Linked DNA regions of Saccharomyces cerevisiae S288C. Changing the gene in region 1 together with any one later gene gives a genetic interaction. Each region holds a gene or a part of one and is shown in the gene's direction. Other genes may lie near its edges. The genes, in order: VPS64, ATG23, VPS8 and OAR1.

Region 1 (6,155 bases):
CAACGAAAGTAACAAACAAAACGACTCTCCGACGGTAAAGGGTGTTATCACAAGACAAGGCCAATACATTGTTGACTTTCACATTGTTGTCAGATTCCCACAATTTCAAAGGGGTAAACAAGTTATGTTCCGAATGAATACGGGACTGAATTTCTTACTTATTCAATTCAGTAAGATAATGACGCACTTGAAAAATATTTTGGAAATACTGAATCAACTTCAAGTAGCTACAGATGTCAGCGAATTCGTATCCAAATTTGGCGTGGCCATGGAACTTTTGAACCATTCTCTAATACTTTTACAAAATCCTCCTAGAGACCTGGTATTCCCAGAAGATAACAACTTTGCTATGAAGGAAATGTTCCAGGATTGTTACTCAGTCTGCGAATCCACAGCTCACATCCTAGGACTGGAACTTACGCTTTGTAGGAATGAGCTTTGCATAGAACTACGAAATCTAATTAAGGTGACTAAAAAACCTTGGTGCGAGATTGATAGTAAAACTGGCAGGTCATTTTGCGACCAAATAAGAAATCAAGTGACAAATGAAAGAAACAAAACTTTATCTAAGATCCTCTCAGAAAACGGTGTACAAGTCCAGGATTCCACATTACTTAACCACATAATTTCTTCTTTTCAAAGTGAAGCTATAACACTTCCAGAAGCTCAGGAATTATTAAGAAGGGGCGTTACTTTCGATAATAGGGTAGTCATGGAATGTGAAAAGTTAATAGTATCTACAAGTGATCCAACTTTGATCAGTATAAGCGCCAAATTGAACAGTCTCAAAGCTTCGATGGCGAACCATCAAGCAAATTTGGTAGCTAGCAAACAGTTAAGTACATATAAGTAATCTACTAGCGATAACATTAACAATAATTTATAATACAAACTGGATAAAGAGATAAATGGATGCTTTAAAAAATAAACTTCTAACTATTTCTGTTTGAGTATTTCCAACTTATTCTCCAGTTGCTTCTTCTTTTCCTTTAGTTTCTTCAATTCTTCCAATTCCTCATTAGTAGAAGATGCCATCATAACCACGTCGTCCGCGTCTCTGCCTTCGTATTCTTGACCCATGTCTGGACTATTCAGAGCATCATCGTCATCCATACTAATGTTCTTCTTTAGCCTTAAATCGTTTAATTCATAAGTTTGCTGCAAAGTATCGAGTTCCCTTTGCATTCTACCCATAGATTTACGTAACTTATCGCCCAGAGTCCTAACCAGCGGTTCTACCTCTTCAATCAAATCTAATTTTGATCTTTCAACATCATATTCGGGAACTAAACGGAAAACCCTTTTGGTTTGCAACATTGTCGATGCAAGGTTCGTGCTTGGCTCATTTGCACATTTTAAAGACTCCACAGAATCCTTCAATACTGAAACTGTTCCCTCCAACGCAAGGACGCTCTGTTCCAAAGCATCTGTCATGGTTATTTTGCCTATCCTTCAATTCGTACACAGATATATGCGTCTGTGATCTGTTTATTATTCATTTTCATTGTTGCTAACTACTACGCCCTGTGAAAACAAACTTTATAATCGCCAATAATAAATACATAATGAAAGTAAATCGCAATCCGGACCCCACGGATAGTCACCAGTCTCACCAACTGGAAATTAGAAGGAAGGAAGACAACTGTAAATTCTTGGCATGGTAGAACTGGAAAAAAGAAGACGGCCCCCTCCGCAACTGCAACATTCTCCCTATGTTAGGGATCAATCGAATTCGCAGGGAATGACAAAGACGCCAGAAACGTCACCGCCTAAGAGGCCCATGGGAAGAGCTAGATCAAACTCGAGAAGCAGTGGATCCCGTTCAAATGTCGATATAGATCAGTATACCATACCACCAGGCTTAGATTTGTTGCCTACCGCTTCATCTCCACCTTCCGTCCATCAAGTTTCACAACAGCAACAATTATCCCCAATATTAGCCAACAAAATCCGTTCTCCATTTGAAAATCAAAGTCAGGATCAAAATGACAATTCAATAGACCCAACACCGGCTGGACAAGTAACAATTCCTGTAGAAGCCGTATCTCCACCGGCACTGGACGAATTATCGAAATTCCAAAATGGTTCAACTGAGACATTATTTAGAACTGGATCACCCCGTAAGAAGCATACACATATTATTATACTCAAATCCTTAAATGCAACTTTTGAGACCAAGTTTCTTGTTGTACCATTTAAACCTGACGGACTTAAATTAGGTCGACCAGTTACCAATAGCGTAAACAAGAATAATTCAGGATCGAAAAGAGATTTATTTTCGCAACAAGTTAGACCAGATAACGGAAATTTTGACTCAAGAGTTCTTTCCAGAAATCACGCTTGTCTCAGTTGTGATCCTACATCAGGAAAGATATATATTCGCGATCTAAAGTCCAGCAATGGGACATTTGTTAATGGGGTTAAAATACGCCAAAATGATGTAGAATTAAAAGTTGGTGATACTGTGGATTTGGGAACTGATATTGACTCAAAGTTTGAACATAGAAAAATCAGTGCGTATGTGGAAGAGATTTCAGTAATTCCCTTAATGAACACTGTATCTGATCCCACAAATTTGGTGATGAAAAAACAAGATCATACTAATAAGAATAATGGGAACTCCACTAATATAAACGGAATAAAGATAGACAGAGGTCATCATAATCAACACATTCCAATACGATCTCATTTAAAGGAAAATTATACCGAAGCTGGTGTAACATCTGCAACAACGGCTCAAAGGGCAGCCTTTGAGGCAGCTATGTTTGGAGATATTAATAACTCAGAATTAGATGATGATATTTTAGGTCCAGAAACTGAGGTTCTCAGTGGAATTTTTATCAACAATTCAGCAGGTACAAGCATAAATTTGATAAATATGATAAAAACTTTGACTACTGAGCTGTCCTTAGAAAAACAAGAGCTGGAAAAATTACATTCCATGCAAAACTTTATGCAAAACTATACGATAAACCTTGATTTCATCAATAAGCACATGATTGATATGAATGAAAAGCATTTACTGAAACTGAGCACGGCTTTACAAAAAACTCTATCAGAAAATAATGATGCGCTACTCAAAGAATCGGAAGATCAATTAAAAGAAATCAAACAACAAAATAATAAAGTAAAATCTGCATGTAGCTTGAAGGAAAAACAAAACCATGAAAAGCTACAGGAGCTCGAAAGTGAATTAAGAGAGCTGAACCTTCAAATAGAAGAAGAGAGGGGAAAAAATTTAGTTTTAACACAAAGCAATTTTAATGGTGGTATTAACAATGACAATAACGCTAAAGTAAAACAAAATGATTCAAGAGAAGAAAAAAAGGATACCGAAGATACATTAATAAGCACTGAAGAACTAGGAGTCGTCGAAGGCAAGAGAACAAGAGTTAGTAAGGGAATGCTCTTTGGAGTAGTTGCCATTTCATTCGGTTTAGTTGCGACGGCCGTTAAGCAATTGCCACAATAACTCGAAAGAAGAAAAATACTACAAGCATAATCTACAAAGCAAAAACAGGGCTTGTCCTGTAGAAATGAGAAAAACCATATATTATAAATAAGCACATATTCCATATACTTTGAATATTGTTTTGCAATTCTGATCCACACTCTTTTTTTTCATTTTTTCAAGATTTCTTGATTAAGTAAAATTAAAAAAAAATTCGGGAACTCAAGCTAAAACTGGATGCGTCTACTCATCACCTATAGTCTCAAGATTGTCGAAGATACAGATTTTGAATAAATATCTACAAAAAAGTTACATAGTAAATTGCGAATGGAAGGAAAGGTTGATGTCTTGCTAACATGGCTGAAAAAATCAGATAAGTTTTATATAGCACCAAACATCAGCATCTGTGAATCGCCAGAAACTGGCAGAGGGATCGTCCTCAGTCACGGTTCGATAAGAAAAAACGATATCATTGTATCAGTACCGAGCTCGAAGCAACTAAATTTTCACACTATCCTCTATCATATTTCAAAGTTTAATAAAGAGCTGAATATTCCTGGTATCACAATCGATAGAAAGCCAATCAATTATGAGGACAATATTATTGAAGCGGAAAATAAAGCCTGGGCCGATCCTAGATATGGATTATATTCCGAATTATCGAAAGAGTTTTTGTTAAGTTTATCATCATTTCAATTGGTATCATTTTATATATTGGTTGAAAATTTTCTATTGCCAAAATGGACTCACAATGAAATCTACTCAGATTGGAAACCATTCTTTGATGTATGGCCCTCAATGGAGGAGCTGCGATCAATCCCAGCCATTTGGAACTGTGATCCCAATTCACGTTACCATTCACTGATTGAATATCTCCCTGCTGCCTCACGAAAGCATATGGCAAGAATTAGTGGCCTTGTCAGAGAAGATTGGGAAACCATTTCAGAGGTGGTTTTGAAATGGAATGAAATTTACGGCTCCTTAAGCTGTACGAAAAATTCTGATAAATTTACTAGTGATGAGTTATTCTCCCTTTTTGTACATGTTTATTTTATTATAAACTCAAGATGTCTTTATGCGAAGATTCCGTTGAAAATAGAGGACTCCCCAAGCAATTTCACTTTAGTGCCGTATGTCGATTTCATGAACCACATTTGTGAGTCGGATTTGCACTGCTATCCTCAGTTAAGTCCTCAGTTGAGGTCAGAAGGAGAAAACATCATTGGAATTGGACAATTTACCATTAGATGCGGCGATCACCTCTATGACAACATTAACGAGGAGCTCTTTTTGAATTATGGTGCACACTCAAATGATTTTTTACTGAACGAGTATGGATTTGTGGTAGACGGAAACAAATGGAACTACTTAGACATATCTGACGAAATTATTGAACTAATAGACGACGACAAAAAGGAGGTAAAAACGTTTCTATTGGAACATGATTATTGGGGAGATTACACTATCAATGAGACTGATATCAGTTATAGGATATTCGTAGCATTGAACTATTATGTGACGAGGGATGAAAGGAGGGTTCGAAAATTCATTGAAGGTTACATATCAGAAGATTACTTCAAGCCAAAAATCTCTTCAGTTTTAAAAGAATTATTGGTCTCCTTAACTGCAAAATATACAAAGACGCTTAGCGAGTTGACAGAAAAAGTATCTAATCTTGAGAATAACCTCTGCTTACAAAACTTAATTACCATATACAAAGGGTATATAAAAATACTTACACAACACTTACAAGACCTGCAATCATAGGTATTTGTAAAGTCCAAGAAATAACTTTAAATTCGGAAGTGCCAGTGCCCATGCTTCTCTTCGCAAGTACATGTGCGCAGCAGCCATTCATATATGAAAATTTAGGAATATCTATTGTATATACATGAAATTTCTTCACAGGTAATGATAATCTAGTGCTTTTTGCTTAGTAATAAACTGTTTCCCTTTTATTAAAGTCAGAAGTATATCATTCCACTTGCAGTTACATTTTTTGTACTTACCAAGAGAAACAAAAAATCCGTTAAGTTCATTAATGTTCGTTTGATTCAATTGATTTAAAGATTGGGCCAACTTAGCGCGCTTGTGCCCATTAACTTCTAGATCTCTCATCACCAAGCTAAATATTCTCTCCTTGTCAAAGATTACAGAATAGTTTGGGTTGGTGTTTAGTGACGGGTAGGATCGATCGATAATTGACAGCTGCTCACTAATCAACTTTTTTATTATATCTTGTGCTCCGGGGATTTTCAAAAGTTCCTTTTTATATACGCAATCATATACTGCCAATAATGGCTCGGTACAACTCTCCAATATCAATTTCTCCAGTTCAGTGAAGAACAAATCCTGGAAACCATGAACATGCAGATCAAAACTAACTAGATCGGAACCTATTCCAGATCGTAGCCTGGAAATTTCTCTAAACAACTTATAAAACGCATTATTTTCTTTTTCATTTTTCTGCCTGTCACCTCTTAGAGAAAGACTCGCACTTTTACCAGTACTACTCATTCGAGGAAAACCATCAATCTTTGCAATATGAAATTGTATCCTTCCTTTCACTTTGAGAGACAGTTGAAATTCTTGATGTATGGTCCCAACGTCAACTGGTGTTGTAAAGCCCATGAACAAGTTTGGTCTTGCCTCATCAAAGCGCCATCGATATCTATGCAAATGTTCCAATAGATTTAAGCTTGGA
Region 2 (6,088 bases), on another chromosome or scaffold:
GGCTGTACCTTGTGGTCTACCACAGGCCATAACTTCTTGAGTGATACAAATAGAGCCTGAACCCATACCAATTCTTAAACCATCGGCACCGGCAGCAATCAAGTTAGCAGCTTGTTCTCTGGTGGCAACGTTACCAGCAATGATTTCCAAATCTGGGAAAGTTTCTTTAATCCATTTGATCATGTTCAATTGGAAAATAGAGTTACCTTGAGAGGAATCTAAGATAACAACATCCAAACCTGCTTCGACTAATAGTCTTAACCTTTCCTTATCAGCATCGATAGTACCGATAGCAGCACCACATAACAGTTGCTTGGTGGTGGCAGATTTAGAAGCCAATGGATAGTTCTGATTTTTCATTAAATCAGTTCTGGAAAGCATAGAAACTAAGTTACCATTGTCGTCAACAATCAATAGCTTACCCTTTTTAATCTTCTTTAAAATTTCATTACCTTCAGACAATGTAATACCTTGTGCACCGGTGACAGGGTTTTTGGTCATAACATCTTGAACAAGCAAAGAGTTGTCTTCAACGAACTGAATATCACGAGAAGTGACGATACCCATCAATTTTCCGTTTCTTTTACCATCTTCTGTAACGGGGAAACCGGAAAATCCAAATCTTTCCTTCATACTCTTAGCTTCACCCACAGTAGTAGTTGGGGAAATCACTATAGGGTTGTTAATAAACCCATTTTCATAGTTCTTGACTCTTCTGACCATGTCAGCTTGGTCCTCTGGGGTACAGTTGTGGTGAATAAAACCGATACCACCCAACAAAGCCATGAAGATGGCCATTTCTGATTCTGTCACGGTGTCCATTGGAGAGGAAACGAATGGGGTGTTCAAAGTGATATTCCTTGTCAACTTAGTTTGTAGGCTAACTTCAGAAGATGGGAAATCAACCAGACCTGGCAAAACCAAAAAGTCGTTATAAGTCAACCCACCTCTGGTCTTGGAGTCCATCAACTCCTGGACAGACAAACCATCTAGTCTTGGTAAGCTCTTGGCGAATTCCAAGGCAGTCTTGTAGTCTCTAACGGCGGCCATTGCTTTTACTACTTTCGGAGTTATTAATTGCACTGATAATATTTACTGCTGTTAACCTGTCGATGACTTCTTTTCCTTAGAATAAAAGTGAGACAGATGAGATGACGTGCTTTTCTGCGAGTTTAGAAAGTCTTTCTAAGTTAAGTTATATAGAAGCAAGAAAGAAAAGAAATAGAGTAAAAAAGAGAAAGTTCCCAGTACACTAGGTGAAAATGCACAAGCCCACGAAACTGGAGTAAACCTCCAAGGGTCCCAACACTCAAAAATCTTGTTGGATCTCGGAAGGGCAAATTATTCAACTATTTATACCTTTCTATTTCTTCTTTTTTTTTTTTTTTTTTTCAGTGAAAAATTTTTCATTTTTCGGAAAAAGAAACGTGTGCGGCTTTGAAGGCTAATATTTATGTAATTAACCAGAGTTAGAAATGAACACAATAGTGGTTAAAGAAGCCACTGGGTCACTGGAAAAAAGTACATCTTGTTAGCCATCAAGTAACAGGTTTATGTATTGGGAATTATGGTTTTTCAAGTTCCCTTGTCTCTTTTTTCCCGATATCCTAGCCCTAGGACAACTTGTAGGGTATCAGCGCATATGTTCAAAAAATTTAAGGGCGTAAGCTCTGGCGTTTAGGTGCGCAATTAACAAAAGGTATAGATAGTCTTTTTATAGTGTAAATCATATACAAATAATAGAACACAGAGAACGTCTGTATATATCTATTGGAGAACCGGCTAAGGAATGGAAAAGTGAAGGATAGAGTACGTTTTAGTTCAAGTGATTATTTTCGTTTTCTTGTTCCACATTTTAACCTCGTTGTTCTATAAGGTAACAAAATAAAGTGAAGAAGTAAATATGGAACTGAATCAGGTTTTAGAAAAAAAGGAGCAGATTCTGCAATACTTAGGCACTCTGGTCGGGCTTCACGAAAAAGCGTTGTCTGATGTAAATTCGGCTTCCCAGGTGACAAGCATCCGGAAGGATATCACTATTTGCTTAAACGATCTATGCAGAATTAATGATCTCTTAGTATCCCATGATGGTCTATTGAAAAGAGAAATTGGGTCCTTACTTCGAGACAAACAAGAGCTACTAGAACTGAACGAAAGAGAGCAGCTTCTTTGGAAAGAGCGGAAGTCGTGGCATATTAAGCAAGAAACCGATGCTGCGCCGGCGGACTATGTTATCGATAAGGACGCCATAATTACCATTTCATCGCACCACCGGACATCACTAAACAAATATATCGAGTCAGTGGGGGCAGAAAATACAATACTATCCAATACGGATGATTCGGATGCAATGATCGAGGAAGTACAGAACGCTGAATCTTCTGCGGATCAAATGATACGTAATTACAAACTGTTACAATTATCTCATAAGCAAGCTAAATCAGAAATAATAAGGCTGGAAACTTTATTAAGAGACTTCAAAAAGGACAATAAATTCATTGAAGAGGAGTTAAAAAGGCAATCTGGACGGATACGTTCCGAAATGGGTAATATTGATTTTCATTTGTCCAAGATAGAGGAATCTAAGCATCAATTAATGAAAAGAATAGGATTCGAGTCGCCCCTGACACAGGAAAAATCACTATCAGAAAAGATATTCAATTTAAGGCTGTCCAGCGCGGATGAAGATTACAATGAGAGACAAACTATCAACATGAAAAATTTTGTTCATATGAAGGATCTCATAGAACTGAAAATTGAAGATCTACAAGAGCAACTAATGAGAAATAAAAATGAGTCTTCTACAGTACTAACGCAACGTGAATTATGGCTAGATTGTCAAAAAAAAGTAGGAGATTTGGAAAGCAAATTAATAACCAAACTTCGGAGCAGCAGCAACTCCAAAATACCTCCAAATGAAATGTCAGAAATGATCAATTCTACAATACAGTACCTAAATAACCTTCTTGACTCTTCTGATGAAAAGCTCACGACAACTTTAATATCAAACGAAAGGGACGTACTTTCGAAAGCTTGTGAAGAACTCCATAGCGAAAGTACCACTGCACAAGATGGGTCAAGCGCACTACCTTCTAAACCAATTGATATACACAAAAGCCATAAAGGGTCGAACGCGAGTTCAAATTTAAAACAGCCCTCGACTCCCTCATTCTTGGTTGCTAGCAAATCGCCACCAAAGATTGGCATTTCTGAAAGTGTAGTAAACGCTAATAAAAATGATGCCATATCAAAAAAAGTTGAATGAAATGCAAATAGCTAGAGTAGCCATGAGGATAATGTAAATTTAAACATTGTATGCCCACGTAATAGTCAAACTCTTTCACGTCAAATTGAAAAAAAATGTTCTTTTTGCTGAAATAATGAAAAATAATGAAAAATAATGTTGCTATTAAATTCAATATAAATGTATACACCAATATATATGCAGGTATAATTCCTAACACTTTTACTTCAAGATCATGATCTAGGCTTTCTTTTTTTTGGGATAAATGGGCTAGATGAAGCATTCCGTCTCGAACTGTTGCGTGTGCCTGTGGGCCCACTACCAGGTCCTTTGAATGCTGAAGATTGTGGTTGCGGATGGGGGTTTAAATCATATGGATCTTCTGCCTCAGCAGGATAGCTGTCTTGCGGATGGGCGGGCAGAGTTTCATGCAGTTCGCCTGTACCCACAGGAGCCGTTGAGTATTGATTCGCATTACCCACATGTTGAGAGAGGGTCCTATTTGCTCCATTCTGTCCATTTTGATTGGGTTCACCGTAATCGGAAGCAGTCAGGATCCTCGAAGAACCACCGGATAAAACACTATTTGAACTTCTGTGTTTTGTAATAGCAGCAGGTACCTGCGTCTGCTTTGCTTGCGAAACTTGTGGATCGTCGTATATACTAGCGCTGAAATTTTGGTTATGAGAAGCCACCCTGTTGTTACGACCATTTGCTTCACTTTTCATTAATGAAGAATCGGAGATTGACGGCGTATAATCATCTTCGTCATCATCATCCTCATTATTACTGATTTCAGGCGGAGAAATTGTTCTCGTCTCCTTCAAACCTAACTGCTTTTCCTTCAATACAGAGGATAAACTTCTGGTCACTTTAATTTCAGGTTCGTCATTTCTTGGTATGAAACTAACATCATCCGAAAAACAAACGTGTTTGTTATTTTTCTTTTTACCAACAACTGCTGCTGCCTTTTTGTTGCTGTCCACATCAGGAAAAGTTTTAGGAACTACGGCACTCGGTACACTCATTCCACCAAAAATGGATGACTTTTTCTTTGTACCAGATGAGGTGCTGGGCGATTCTGCCTTCTTGTTATTCTTTTTCTTATCATCTGCCTTGGACTTTTTCTTTTCCTTCTTCTTCTCTTTCTTCTTTTTCTTTACAGCTTTATCTGCCTCTTCACCTTCATCGACAACTCTTCTCTTCTTTGTGTCCTTATTGGATTTTACCTCATCGGGGCCTTGCGTAATATATTCCATGGGTAGCTTATAATCATCTTCTTGCTCTGATGGTACGGGTACATTGAACTTTCTTAAAATACTTTGAGCTCTATTATTTCTGGGATCCAGGAAACCCGAGCAAGCATATGCAAGACAACTTCTATCTTTTGCATCTTCAATCAAATCTCTCCATAACTTGCTTTTAGCCAGAGACCTTTGATGTCCCAAAACCCAAATACTTGTCTTGGCTCTAGTCAGAGCCACATTCATACGACGAAAGTCCTTTAAAAAACCGACACTAGATTTCGTATCATCGGCACGGACACACGATATCAAGATGATTTCTTTTTCTTGACCTTGGAAACCGTCGATTGTATTGAAATCGATTGATTTGTTGATCATGCCTCCAAAATAGCGGGCAAACTCTTTACGCATTTTTTGCATTTGCTCTCTATAAGGTGAAATTATACCGATTTTTCCCGTGAAATCAATTTTATTATCGAATTTTCTGAAAAGGTAGTCAACTAACTCAATGGCAACACGTATTTCCTCCATATTTGTATAAGACATAGTCTTCGCATTTTGTTCTTGCCTACCACTAATGATGTCAAAAAATTTGTAGGGAGCTAATGGCTCAAGCTGGTGCCAGGGTCTTTTGTTCAAGATATCCATACCAGGGCCGTCTTTTAGTCGTCCCTGATAAAATTCAGAAGAGGGGAATTTACTGATGGAAGGATGCATACGGTATTGAACATCCAGCAAGTATGGGGAGCTATTTTTCTCCATTCTAACGAACAGTGACTGATTGTATTTAAAATTGCTTGCTGCACCTGAAAGAACAGTTGGTGGTAGTTGGTTAGGATCACCAACCATAATACAACGCTTCCCTCCATACCTGAGAGGAATAATTGAAGAAAGTTCGGTACATTGACATGCTTCATCTATAATGACCGTATCAAATTTAATACCCATTGTTGCGAGTACATCATGGGCTGAACCAGATAAAGTCGAACATATGATGTCACTAACCGCCAAGATATGGGCCTGTGCATTCCTTCTATCCAAATCCCTATTCCTATAATTTACGGAATTCTTCTCACGCATTTCGTCCCTATCACGGCCAAGTTCATTGATTATTTTACTTAGCTCCCTAATCTTAAGTTGTAATTTACTGATATCTTCGGTTGACATTGGACTTTCTGGATTACCACTCTCAGAGTCTAATTTTCCTCTCAATTCTCTTCTTTTAGTCACAGCATTATTAAATTTACGTTCTAGTTCCGGATCTGTTCTGATTTCGTAATTCCTTTCACCTATCCTTTTATCCACAAGTTCTTCTAAAGTAAGGTCCTTAATTGCAACGTTTACAACGTCTGACCTACCTACACGGACCAATTGAGGTTTAAATTGATGCCCCTGCTTGTCATACACTCCACTCTTCAGTCTGAGGCAGATTTCGTCCACAGCGGCATTACTGGGGGCACAGATTAGAATTTTTTGCTTTTTTAACAGTTGTTCAGTATTCGATGAGTTCTTTTCTAGTGGCACTTTGATGACATTTGAAGATGAGGCATTCTTTGTAGACAAAAAGTAACCAATAATACCCAGTATAGTCTTTGTTTTA
Region 3 (6,498 bases), on another chromosome or scaffold:
GAATTGGGAAACGAAACTACAACTCAATCCCTTCTCGAAGATACATCAATCCACCCCTTATATAACCTTGAAGTCCTCGAAACGATCAGCTAATCTAAATGGCCCCCCTTCTTTTTGGGTTCTTTCTCTCCCTTTTGCCGCCGATGGAACGTTCTGGAAAAAGAAGAATAATTTAATTACTTTCTCAACTAAAATCTGGAGAAAAAACGCAAATGACAGCTTCTAAACGTTCCGTGTGCTTTCTTTCTAGAATGTTCTGGAAAGTTTACAACAATCCACAAGAACGAAAATGCCGTTGACAATGATGAAACCATCATCCACACACCGCGCACACGTGCTTTATTTCTTTTTCTGAATTTTTTTTTTCCGCCATTTTCAACCAAGGAAATTTTTTTTCTTAGGGCTCAGAACCTGCAGGTGAAGAAGCGCTTTAGAAATCAAAGCACAACGTAACAATTTGTCGACAACCGAGCCTTTGAAGAAAAAATTTTTCACATTGTCGCCTCTAAATAAATAGTTTAAGGTTATCTACCCACTATATTTAGTTGGTTCTTTTTTTTTTCCTTCTACTCTTTATCTTTTTACCTCATGCTTTCTACCTTTCAGCACTGAAGAGTCCAACCGAATATATACACACATAATGGCATCCACCGATTTCTCCAAGATTGAAACTTTGAAACAATTAAACGCTTCTTTGGCTGACAAGTCATACATTGAAGGGTATGTTCCGATTTAGTTTACTTTATAGATCGTTGTTTTTCTTTCTTTTTTTTTTTTCCTATGGTTACATGTAAAGGGAAGTTAACTAATAATGATTACTTTTTTTCGCTTATGTGAATGATGAATTTAATTCTTTGGTCCGTGTTTATGATGGGAAGTAAGACCCCCGATATGAGTGACAAAAGAGATGTGGTTGACTATCACAGTATCTGACGATAGCACAGAGCAGAGTATCATTATTAGTTATCTGTTATTTTTTTTTCCTTTTTTGTTCAAAAAAAGAAAGACAGAGTCTAAAGATTGCATTACAAGAAAAAAGTTCTCATTACTAACAAGCAAAATGTTTTGTTTCTCCTTTTAAAATAGTACTGCTGTTTCTCAAGCTGACGTCACTGTCTTCAAGGCTTTCCAATCTGCTTACCCAGAATTCTCCAGATGGTTCAACCACATCGCTTCCAAGGCCGATGAATTCGACTCTTTCCCAGCTGCCTCTGCTGCCGCTGCCGAAGAAGAAGAAGATGACGATGTCGATTTATTCGGTTCCGACGATGAAGAAGCTGACGCTGAAGCTGAAAAGTTGAAGGCTGAAAGAATTGCCGCATACAACGCTAAGAAGGCTGCTAAGCCAGCTAAGCCAGCTGCTAAGTCCATTGTCACTCTAGATGTCAAGCCATGGGATGATGAAACCAATTTGGAAGAAATGGTTGCTAACGTCAAGGCCATCGAAATGGAAGGTTTGACCTGGGGTGCTCACCAATTTATCCCAATTGGTTTCGGTATCAAGAAGTTGCAAATTAACTGTGTTGTCGAAGATGACAAGGTTTCCTTGGATGACTTGCAACAAAGCATTGAAGAAGACGAAGACCACGTCCAATCTACCGATATTGCTGCTATGCAAAAATTATAAAAGGCTTTTTTATAAACTTTTTATAATTAACATTAAAGCAAAAACAACATTGTAAAGATTAACAAATAAATGAAAAAAACAACGAAATAACTTAGGTTTTAGGCTAAAAAAAACAGAAGGAATTTTGAACGATAAACTTTTCGACTGCACACGAAACATTATTACTAATTTGTGTAACCACTATATAAGGAATCGTGTTTATTAATTGAATTTATTCCGGGAATATTCAAGTTATGTATATCTCTTTTCATATTCTTAAATACACATACTCATAATATCTTGTCGAAAATACGCGGTGTAGGGAGTTATGGTGGATAACTTTTTCACGATTAGAAGAAAAGGAAAATTTCATTATTCGTAGCTTAACATGGCAAAAACGAGAAAGACATATAATCAAAACGTGAGTTTCCTGTGGAAAAAAAAAAAAGGGAACCTCTGGTTACGATGATATACCTGCGTGAAAAAGGACAGTTATTACCAATACATACAAAGGCTTAATAAGTGTAAAATATATATCTGCCGAGACCATTACTCATTACACCTAGAATGGAGCAAAATGGCCTTGACCACGACAGCAGATCTAGCATCGATACGACTATTAATGACACTCAAAAGACTTTCCTAGAATTTAGATCGTATACCCAATTAAGTGAAAAACTGGCATCTAGTTCTTCATATACGGCACCTCCCCTGAACGAAGATGGTCCTAAAGGGGTAGCTTCTGCAGTGTCACAAGGCTCCGAATCCGTAGTCTCATGGACAACTTTAACACACGTATATTCCATCCTGGGTGCTTATGGAGGGCCCACGTGCTTGTATCCGACAGCCACGTATTTTTTGATGGGCACTTCTAAAGGATGCGTACTCATTTTTAATTATAATGAACATTTGCAGACAATCCTAGTGCCGACCTTATCTGAGGACCCTTCTATTCACTCAATAAGAAGTCCAGTGAAATCAATTGTCATATGTTCCGATGGTACTCATGTAGCTGCCTCATACGAGACCGGAAATATATGCATTTGGAACTTGAACGTAGGGTATAGAGTGAAACCCACTTCTGAACCAACAAATGGTATGACCCCAACGCCTGCCTTACCGGCAGTCTTACACATCGATGACCATGTGAACAAGGAAATCACAGGGTTAGACTTTTTTGGTGCTCGGCATACAGCCCTGATTGTTAGTGATAGGACAGGTAAAGTATCACTCTATAACGGTTACAGAAGAGGCTTTTGGCAGTTGGTGTATAATTCAAAAAAAATTTTAGATGTGAACTCTTCCAAGGAGAAATTAATAAGGTCAAAGTTGTCTCCACTAATATCACGGGAGAAAATTTCCACTAATTTGTTGAGTGTACTCACAACTACACATTTTGCCCTTATTTTATTATCGCCACACGTTTCTTTGATGTTTCAAGAAACTGTTGAACCCTCAGTACAAAATTCTCTAGTCGTGAATAGCTCTATTTCATGGACTCAAAACTGTTCCAGGGTTGCTTATTCCGTAAATAATAAAATTTCTGTTATTTCCATATCTTCATCAGACTTCAATGTTCAGTCCGCTAGCCATTCTCCTGAATTTGCAGAATCTATATTATCCATTCAATGGATTGACCAGCTCCTACTTGGTGTTTTAACCATATCGCACCAATTTTTGGTATTGCACCCCCAACATGACTTCAAGATCCTGTTAAGATTGGATTTTCTGATTCACGATTTGATGATCCCACCTAATAAATATTTTGTAATAAGTAGAAGAAGTTTCTACCTGTTAACAAACTACTCATTTAAAATTGGCAAATTTGTGTCTTGGTCAGATATTACTTTAAGACATATTTTGAAAGGCGACTACTTGGGTGCATTGGAGTTCATAGAATCACTTTTGCAACCTTACTGTCCACTGGCAAACTTGTTGAAGCTAGATAATAATACGGAAGAGAGGACTAAGCAACTTATGGAACCATTTTACAATCTGTCCTTGGCTGCCCTAAGGTTTCTTATAAAAAAAGATAATGCCGACTACAATAGGGTTTACCAATTATTAATGGTAGTTGTTCGTGTTTTGCAGCAATCTTCCAAAAAACTAGACTCAATTCCTTCTCTAGACGTCTTTTTGGAACAGGGTCTGGAGTTCTTTGAATTGAAGGACAACGCGGTATATTTTGAAGTTGTAGCAAATATTGTTGCCCAAGGATCAGTTACGTCAATTTCCCCAGTTCTTTTCAGGTCCATAATTGATTACTATGCTAAGGAGGAGAATTTAAAAGTAATTGAAGACTTAATCATCATGTTAAATCCTACTACGCTTGATGTTGATCTTGCCGTCAAACTATGCCAAAAGTATAATTTGTTCGATTTATTAATATATATTTGGAACAAGATCTTTGATGATTATCAAACCCCAGTGGTGGACTTGATATACAGGATTTCTAACCAAAGTGAAAAATGTGTGATCTTCAATGGTCCTCAAGTACCTCCTGAAACGACTATATTTGATTACGTAACGTATATCCTTACTGGCAGGCAATATCCACAAAACTTGTCTATATCACCAAGTGATAAATGCTCCAAAATACAAAGGGAACTTTCAGCATTTATTTTTAGTGGCTTCTCCATAAAATGGCCGTCGAACAGCAATCATAAACTTTACATATGCGAAAATCCAGAAGAAGAGCCAGCATTTCCTTACTTTCACCTTTTATTGAAATCGAATCCGAGTAGGTTCTTAGCAATGCTCAATGAAGTGTTTGAAGCGTCCTTGTTTAACGATGACAATGACATGGTTGCATCAGTTGGAGAAGCAGAATTGGTAAGTAGGCAATATGTTATTGATCTACTATTGGATGCTATGAAAGATACGGGAAATTCAGACAACATCAGGGTACTTGTTGCAATTTTCATTGCAACTAGTATATCAAAATATCCTCAATTTATTAAAGTGTCTAACCAAGCCCTCGACTGCGTTGTTAATACCATATGCTCCTCTAGGGTTCAAGGTATATATGAAATTTCTCAAATAGCTCTGGAGTCGCTTTTACCCTATTATCATTCAAGAACAACAGAAAATTTTATACTGGAACTAAAAGAAAAAAATTTCAATAAAGTTCTTTTCCATATCTATAAAAGTGAAAATAAGTACGCCAGTGCGCTTTCACTTATTTTAGAAACTAAGGACATCGAAAAAGAATATAACACGGACATTGTATCCATAACCGACTACATACTCAAAAAATGCCCACCTGGAAGTTTAGAATGTGGCAAAGTTACTGAAGTTATCGAGACGAACTTTGATCTTCTTCTCTCAAGGATCGGTATCGAAAAATGCGTCACAATTTTTTCTGACTTTGACTATAATCTTCATCAAGAAATCCTGGAAGTAAAGAATGAGGAGACTCAGCAAAAGTATTTGGATAAGCTTTTTTCTACGCCAAATATCAACAATAAGGTCGATAAGCGTTTAAGAAATTTACACATCGAATTGAACTGTAAATACAAGAGCAAAAGGGAAATGATTCTTTGGCTTAATGGTACAGTTCTCAGCAACGCTGAGAGCTTACAAATTCTGGACTTATTGAATCAAGACTCTAATTTTGAAGCTGCAGCTATAATTCACGAACGCTTGGAAAGTTTTAACCTAGCAGTCAGGGATTTATTAAGTTTTATTGAACAATGTCTAAATGAAGGGAAAACAAATATATCTACTTTATTGGAATCTTTGAGGAGGGCCTTTGATGATTGTAATTCTGCTGGTACCGAGAAAAAATCGTGTTGGATATTATTGATTACATTCCTGATCACTCTATATGGGAAATATCCTTCACACGATGAAAGGAAAGATTTATGTAATAAACTACTTCAAGAAGCATTTTTGGGATTGGTTAGGTCCAAGAGTTCCTCTCAGAAGGATTCAGGTGGGGAATTCTGGGAAATAATGTCTTCTGTTCTTGAGCACCAAGACGTTATTTTAATGAAAGTTCAGGATTTAAAGCAACTGCTACTGAATGTTTTTAATACTTATAAATTGGAAAGATCTCTTTCTGAGTTGATTCAAAAGATTATAGAGGATTCTTCGCAAGATCTTGTTCAACAGTATAGAAAATTTCTGAGTGAAGGGTGGTCTATACACACCGACGACTGCGAAATCTGCGGGAAAAAAATATGGGGAGCTGGTCTGGACCCATTACTTTTTCTAGCTTGGGAAAATGTACAGCGCCACCAAGATATGATTAGTGTAGATCTCAAAACTCCCCTTGTCATATTCAAATGTCACCATGGCTTTCACCAGACTTGCCTCGAAAACTTGGCCCAGAAACCCGATGAATATTCTTGTTTAATTTGCCAGACGGAATCTAACCCAAAAATAGTATAACATTTCTAAATATTTAATACAACTTTGGTTACATAAAAGTAAAATTTATACACCTCATTTCATTATGTAGATTCATATATAGAATACCAATTATGATTGACCCAATAGCCATCAAAATCAGTAGTTATTAATACTTGTCTTTCTAGGAGCCATTTGCATATTTCTGATATTTCATGAAGCGAAAGTACTTCACGACACCTAGATTGCAATCTACTCAATGTTATCCCTGGATGAAATATTATTTCGTTAACGACCATAGTAACTACCTGCTTCCATATGTTTGGCCTAATGGAACCAGATCCATTCACCCATAAACGAGAAAATGGTTTGCCCAGTGGAACTTTGACAGCAGACTTCCTTGCTGTATTCAATTTTGTCTGAGAATTGGCATATATAATCAGAGGGGGAGTTAATGTTCGTATTTCAAATCTCCTTGAAGTATACGTTAAAGGTCGAACATTTCTCACCATTGGAATTACATCCATATTCAATAGCTCTCC
Region 4 (5,385 bases), on another chromosome or scaffold:
TTGGTCGTTTTCTCAATATAATCTACATCATCATATATATATAATGTCTACACAATTTAGGAAGTCTAATCATAATAGTCATAGTAGTAAAAAACTAAATCCTGCGCTAAAGTCCAAAATAGATACGCTTACAGAATTGTTCCCTGACTGGACGAGTGATGATTTAATTGATATAGTTCAAGAATATGATGATTTGGAAACTATAATTGATAAAATTACTTCCGGCGCAGTGACAAGATGGGATGAAGTAAAGAAACCTGCTAAGAAGGAAAAATATGAAAAAAAGGAGCAACAACACTCATATGTCCCTCAACAACATTTGCCAAATCCAGAAGATGATATTACATATAAGAGTTCTAATAATAGCAATTCTTTTACTTCTACAAAGCATAACAGTAGTAACAATTATACTCAAGCCAGAAATAAGAAGAAGGTACAAACACCACGAGCTCATACAACCGGGAAACATGTTAATCTCGACAAGGGGAAGCACGTACCATCCAAGCCTGTTTCAAACACTACATCGTGGGCAGCAGCTGTTTCTGTAGATACTAAACATGACGTTCCTCAAGATTCAAATGATAACAATAATGAAGAATTAGAAGCACAAGGGCAACAAGCGCAGGAGAAAAATCAAGAAAAAGAGCAAGAAGAGCAACAACAGCAGGAAGGGCATAATAACAAAGAAGAACACAAACAAATAGAGCAACCTTCTTTATCTTCAAAGAAAACAACTTCTAGGACATCTGCTTCACAACCAAAGAAAATGTCGTGGGCTGCAATTGCTACACCAAAGCCAAAGGCTGTTAAAAAGACCGAGTCTCCTCTTGAAAACGTTGCTGAATTGAAGAAAGAAATAAGCGATATTAAGAAGGATGACCAAAAGTCTGAAGCTAGTGAAGAAAAAGTTAATGAACAAGAAACATCTGCACAAGAACAAGAGGAGGAGACTGCTGAACCTTCTGAAGAAAATGAAGACAGAGTCCCTGAAGTGGACGGAGAAGAAGTCCAAGAAGAAGCTGAAAAAAAGGAACAAGTAAAAGAAGAGGAACAGACAGCGGAAGAGCTGGAACAAGAACAAGATAATGTTGCTGCTCCAGAAGAAGAAGTTACAGTTGTTGAAGAAAAGGTTGAAATTAGTGCTGTTATTTCAGAGCCTCCAGAAGATCAAGCTAATACTGTACCTCAACCACAACAACAATCCCAACAACCACAGCAACCACAGCAACCACAGCAACCACAGCAACCACAGCAACCACAGCAACAACAACAACCACAGCAACCACAACAACCACAACAACAACTACAACAGCAACAGCAACAGCAACAACAACCAGTACAAGCTCAAGCTCAAGCCCAAGAAGAACAATTATCTCAAAACTACTATACTCAACAACAGCAGCAACAATACGCTCAACAACAGCATCAGTTACAGCAACAGTATTTGTCCCAACAACAACAATATGCTCAGCAACAGCAACAGCATCCACAACCTCAATCACAACAACCTCAATCACAGCAAAGTCCACAAAGTCAAAAACAAGGGAACAACGTGGCTGCCCAACAGTACTACATGTATCAAAACCAATTTCCTGGATATTCTTATCCAGGTATGTTTGATTCACAAGGATACGCTTACGGTCAACAATATCAGCAACTTGCTCAAAACAACGCTCAAACTAGTGGTAATGCTAACCAATATAATTTCCAACAAGGTTATGGTCAAGCAGGCGCGAACACTGCTGCTGCTAATTTGACTAGTGCTGCCGCTGCTGCTGCCGCTTCTCCAGCTACAGCTCACGCCCAACCTCAACAACAACAGCCATACGGTGGCTCATTCATGCCATACTACGCCCACTTTTACCAACAGTCATTCCCATATGGTCAACCTCAATACGGTGTAGCTGGTCAATATCCATACCAGTTACCAAAGAACAATTACAACTATTACCAAACTCAAAACGGTCAGGAACAGCAAAGTCCAAATCAAGGTGTTGCCCAGCATTCTGAAGACTCTCAACAGAAGCAATCACAACAGCAACAGCAACAGCAACCTCAAGGTCAACCCCAACCTGAAGTTCAAATGCAAAATGGCCAACCTGTTAACCCACAACAACAAATGCAGTTCCAACAATACTATCAATTCCAACAACAACAGCAACAAGCTGCTGCCGCTGCCGCTGCTGCTGCCCAACAAGGTGTACCATATGGCTACAACGGTTATGATTACAATTCTAAAAATTCAAGAGGTTTCTACTAATAAGGGAGAAGTAGAACCTCCCACATAAAAAACGAAATGGGGAATAAAATACAATGAATTTAAATACACATTTTATTACCACTATTATGTTTTACTTTCTTCAATGTTTGGGCAAGGATTCCATATCCTTTTGATGATGTCATATATCATTTAAATTTTGCATATATATATATACGTACGTAAATAATAAAAGGTATATATATGTTGTGTTATCTATCTAGCTAGCTGTGTCTTTATTTTGCGGGGTTTTGGAAATGCCACTTTTTCTGTTTTATATATCACAGCGTCAAAATTTCCGCCGTTACTGTTTGCAACTGATGAGAACTATGGAATACACATGAGTACATTGGTATAGACGTGGGAGAAGAAAAGTCTGGAAATGCATTATTTGCCTGTTGCGATAGTAACAGGTGCCACTAGGGGTATAGGCAAGGCAATATGTCAAAAGTTATTTCAAAAGGGTTTAAGTTGCATTATACTTGGGTCTACTAAAGAAAGTATAGAGCGCACCGCGATAGATAGAGGCCAATTACAATCGGGATTATCATATCAGCGGCAATGTGCTATAGCAATTGATTTTAAGAAATGGCCTCACTGGCTTGACTATGAGTCATATGACGGTATCGAATATTTCAAAGATAGACCGCCCTTGAAACAGAAATATTCCACATTGTTCGACCCATGTAACAAATGGTCAAATAATGAACGCCGCTACTACGTAAACTTATTGATTAACTGCGCAGGCTTGACTCAAGAATCATTAAGTGTAAGAACCACTGCATCTCAAATTCAGGACATAATGAATGTTAACTTTATGAGCCCTGTGACGATGACAAACATCTGTATTAAGTATATGATGAAGTCGCAAAGGAGATGGCCGGAACTCAGTGGTCAATCTGCTCGACCCACCATCGTAAATATTTCCTCCATTCTACACTCCGGAAAAATGAAGGTTCCAGGTACATCTGTTTACTCCGCCTCTAAAGCCGCACTGTCCAGATTTACAGAAGTTTTAGCTGCAGAAATGGAACCAAGAAACATTAGGTGTTTTACGATATCTCCAGGTTTAGTCAAAGGGACCGATATGATCCAAAATTTGCCAGTGGAGGCTAAAGAAATGCTGGAGAGAACCATTGGGGCAAGCGGTACAAGCGCACCCGCTGAAATAGCGGAAGAAGTCTGGTCTCTATACAGTAGAACTGCTTTGGAGACGTAAAAGAAAATCGAAACAAATAATAGATTTGTGTCTGTTCAATGTGTATATCGATGAGCTCAGTGAACACATTTTCACATCACGTTTCTTTTTTTTCTTTTTTCCGCTAAGAAAAATTTTCCAGAATTTTTCAGAGGCAAAACAAAACTCATCGATTTCGCACGCATTTCTCGTAGAATTGATATTTTTTTATTTTTTTATTGGTTTTTTTTTTTTTTTTCACTTTTTTTTCTTCCTTTCATGATATTTATAAGGAGAAGTATTTCAATTGGGACTTAAAAAAAAATTTTATTTTGGTTAATGTTTTCATTCAATGGTTTACTACTTTCATTTTAGCTTTTTAACAATTTTCTTTCTGGGGTCTCAGTTGCGGTTAGCAGATTAACACAGAACATACTATAGACAAATATGATTATTTACAAGGATATCTTCTCTAACGACGAATTGTTGTCTGATGCTTACGACGCTAAGTTAGTTGATGACGTTATCTACGAAGCCGACTGTGCTATGGTCAATGTCGGAGGTGACAACATCGATATCGGTGCTAACCCATCTGCTGAAGGTGGTGACGATGATGTTGAAGAAGGTGCTGAAATGGTCAACAACGTTGTCCACTCTTTCCGTCTACAACAAACCGCTTTTGACAAGAAGTCCTTCTTGACCTACATTAAGGGTTACATGAAGGCTGTTAAAGCTAAGTTGCAAGAAACTAACCCAGAAGAAGTTCCTAAATTCGAAAAGGGTGCTCAAACTTACGTCAAGAAGGTTATTGGTTCTTTCAAGGACTGGGAGTTCTTCACTGGTGAATCCATGGACCCAGATGCCATGGTTGTCATGTTGAACTACCGTGAAGATGGTACCACTCCATTTGTTGCCATCTGGAAGCACGGTATTGTGGAAGAAAAGATCTAAGTCTAGCGAAATTAGAAAAATTTTCGTATTTTGTATTTGAATTTGAGAGTAGGACTCCCCTTTCTCATTTTTAATGTATATGTAACCTCTCTCTCTTTTTTCTCTGCATCAACTTTTTAGCTTCTATTCTTTGATTCTATAGGTATCTAAACTTCCTAATTACTTCTTAACACGCATTAGGACGTTTTTAATTATTCTATGATTTTATTAAGACACGTTTATCAATTGCCGTAGATATGTATAGTTCATCAATATTTTCTTTTCCATTACCCTACAGAACTTTCATGTTTTTTGTTTTCCTGTCTTTTTCTCCAATTACGTGAAAAAAAAATTGAATTGAAATAGCATGAGAAGCTGAGAAACAAGTAGAAATTGACGAAATCCAACGTTCATAAGCATTTTTCAAGAGGTCGCAATTTCACTCGTACACAACTGACCTATTATGGCATGCCTCTCAAGAATTGATGCAAATTTGCTCCAATATTATGAAAAACCTGAACCCAATAATACGGTTGATTTATACGTCAGTAATAACAGTAATAATAACGGGCTGAAAGAAGGAGATAAGTCCATCTCTACACCAGTTCCTCAGCCTTACGGAAGTGAATATTCCAATTGTTTGTTATTGAGTAACTCTGAGTATATCTGTTACCATTTTTCCTCAAGATCAACATTGTTGACATTTTATCCTTTGAGTGACGCATACCATGGGAAGACAATTAATATACACTTACCAAATGCTTCTATGAATCAGAGATACACTTTAACGATACAAGAAGTGGAACAGCAATTACTGGTTAATGTTATCTTAAAAGATGGTTCGTTTTTAACGTTACAACTACCCCTAAGTTTCCTATTTTCATCGGCCAACACTCTCAATGGAGAGTGGTTTCATCTCCAAAATCCCTACGACTTTACAGTTAGAGTTCCTCATTTCCTTTTCTATGTATCACCCCAGTTCTCAGTTGTTTTTTTGGAAGATGGCGGTTTGTTGGGTTTA

Evidence for each region.
Region 2: mutations in VPS64 (region 1) and ATG23 together harm fitness more than expected from each alone (negative genetic interaction), as found in Saccharomyces cerevisiae (2 studies listed by BioGRID).
Region 3: mutations in VPS64 (region 1) and VPS8 together harm fitness more than expected from each alone (negative genetic interaction), as found in Saccharomyces cerevisiae (4 studies listed by BioGRID).
Region 4: mutations in VPS64 (region 1) and OAR1 together harm fitness more than expected from each alone (negative genetic interaction), as found in Saccharomyces cerevisiae (2 studies listed by BioGRID).

What each region holds. Positions count from the first base shown.
Region 1 is NC_001136.10:851,596-857,750, reverse strand, and holds VPS64 (Vps64p), read left to right. Parts: upstream 1-1,657; coding exon 1,658-3,472; downstream 3,473-6,155. Other genes in the region: RAV2 (Rav2p), read left to right, coding at 1-853; SPC19 (Spc19p), read right to left, coding at 937-1,434; RKM2 (protein-lysine N-methyltransferase), read left to right, coding at 3,779-5,218; CBS2 (Cbs2p), read right to left, coding at 5,354-6,155. UniProt on the Saccharomyces cerevisiae protein: Participates in the control of the reentry into the cell cycle following pheromone treatment. Involved in vacuolar protein sorting.
Region 2 is NC_001144.5:997,519-1,003,606, reverse strand, and holds ATG23 (Atg23p), read left to right. Parts: upstream 1-1,903; coding exon 1,904-3,265; downstream 3,266-6,088. Other genes in the region: IMP dehydrogenase IMD3, read right to left, coding at 1-1,050; DNA/RNA helicase SEN1, read right to left, coding at 3,478-6,088. UniProt on the Saccharomyces cerevisiae protein: Required for cytoplasm to vacuole transport (Cvt) vesicle formation and efficient autophagy. Plays a role in ATG protein retrieval from the pre-autophagosomal structure (PAS) and is especially required for autophagy-dependent cycling of ATG9.
Region 3 is NC_001133.9:141,534-148,031, forward strand, and holds VPS8 (CORVET complex membrane-binding subunit VPS8), read left to right. Parts: upstream 1-2,173; coding exon 2,174-5,998; downstream 5,999-6,498. Other genes in the region: EFB1 (translation elongation factor 1 subunit beta), read left to right, coding at 641-720, 1,087-1,627; transcription factor TFIIIC subunit TFC3, read right to left, coding at 6,061-6,498. UniProt on the Saccharomyces cerevisiae protein: Required for localization and recycling of the CPY sorting receptor (VPS10) to the late-Golgi compartment. Involved in the retention of proteins to the late-Golgi. Plays an integral role in the complex vacuolar protein sorting process.
Region 4 is NC_001143.9:333,412-338,796, reverse strand, and holds OAR1 (3-oxoacyl-[acyl-carrier-protein] reductase (NADPH)), read left to right. Parts: upstream 1-2,639; coding exon 2,640-3,476; downstream 3,477-5,385. Other genes in the region: DNA damage-responsive RNA polymerase-degradation factor DEF1, read left to right, coding at 44-2,260; TMA19 (Tma19p), read left to right, coding at 3,882-4,385; NUP120 (Nup120p), read left to right, coding at 4,828-5,385. UniProt on the Saccharomyces cerevisiae protein: Involved in biosynthesis of fatty acids in mitochondria.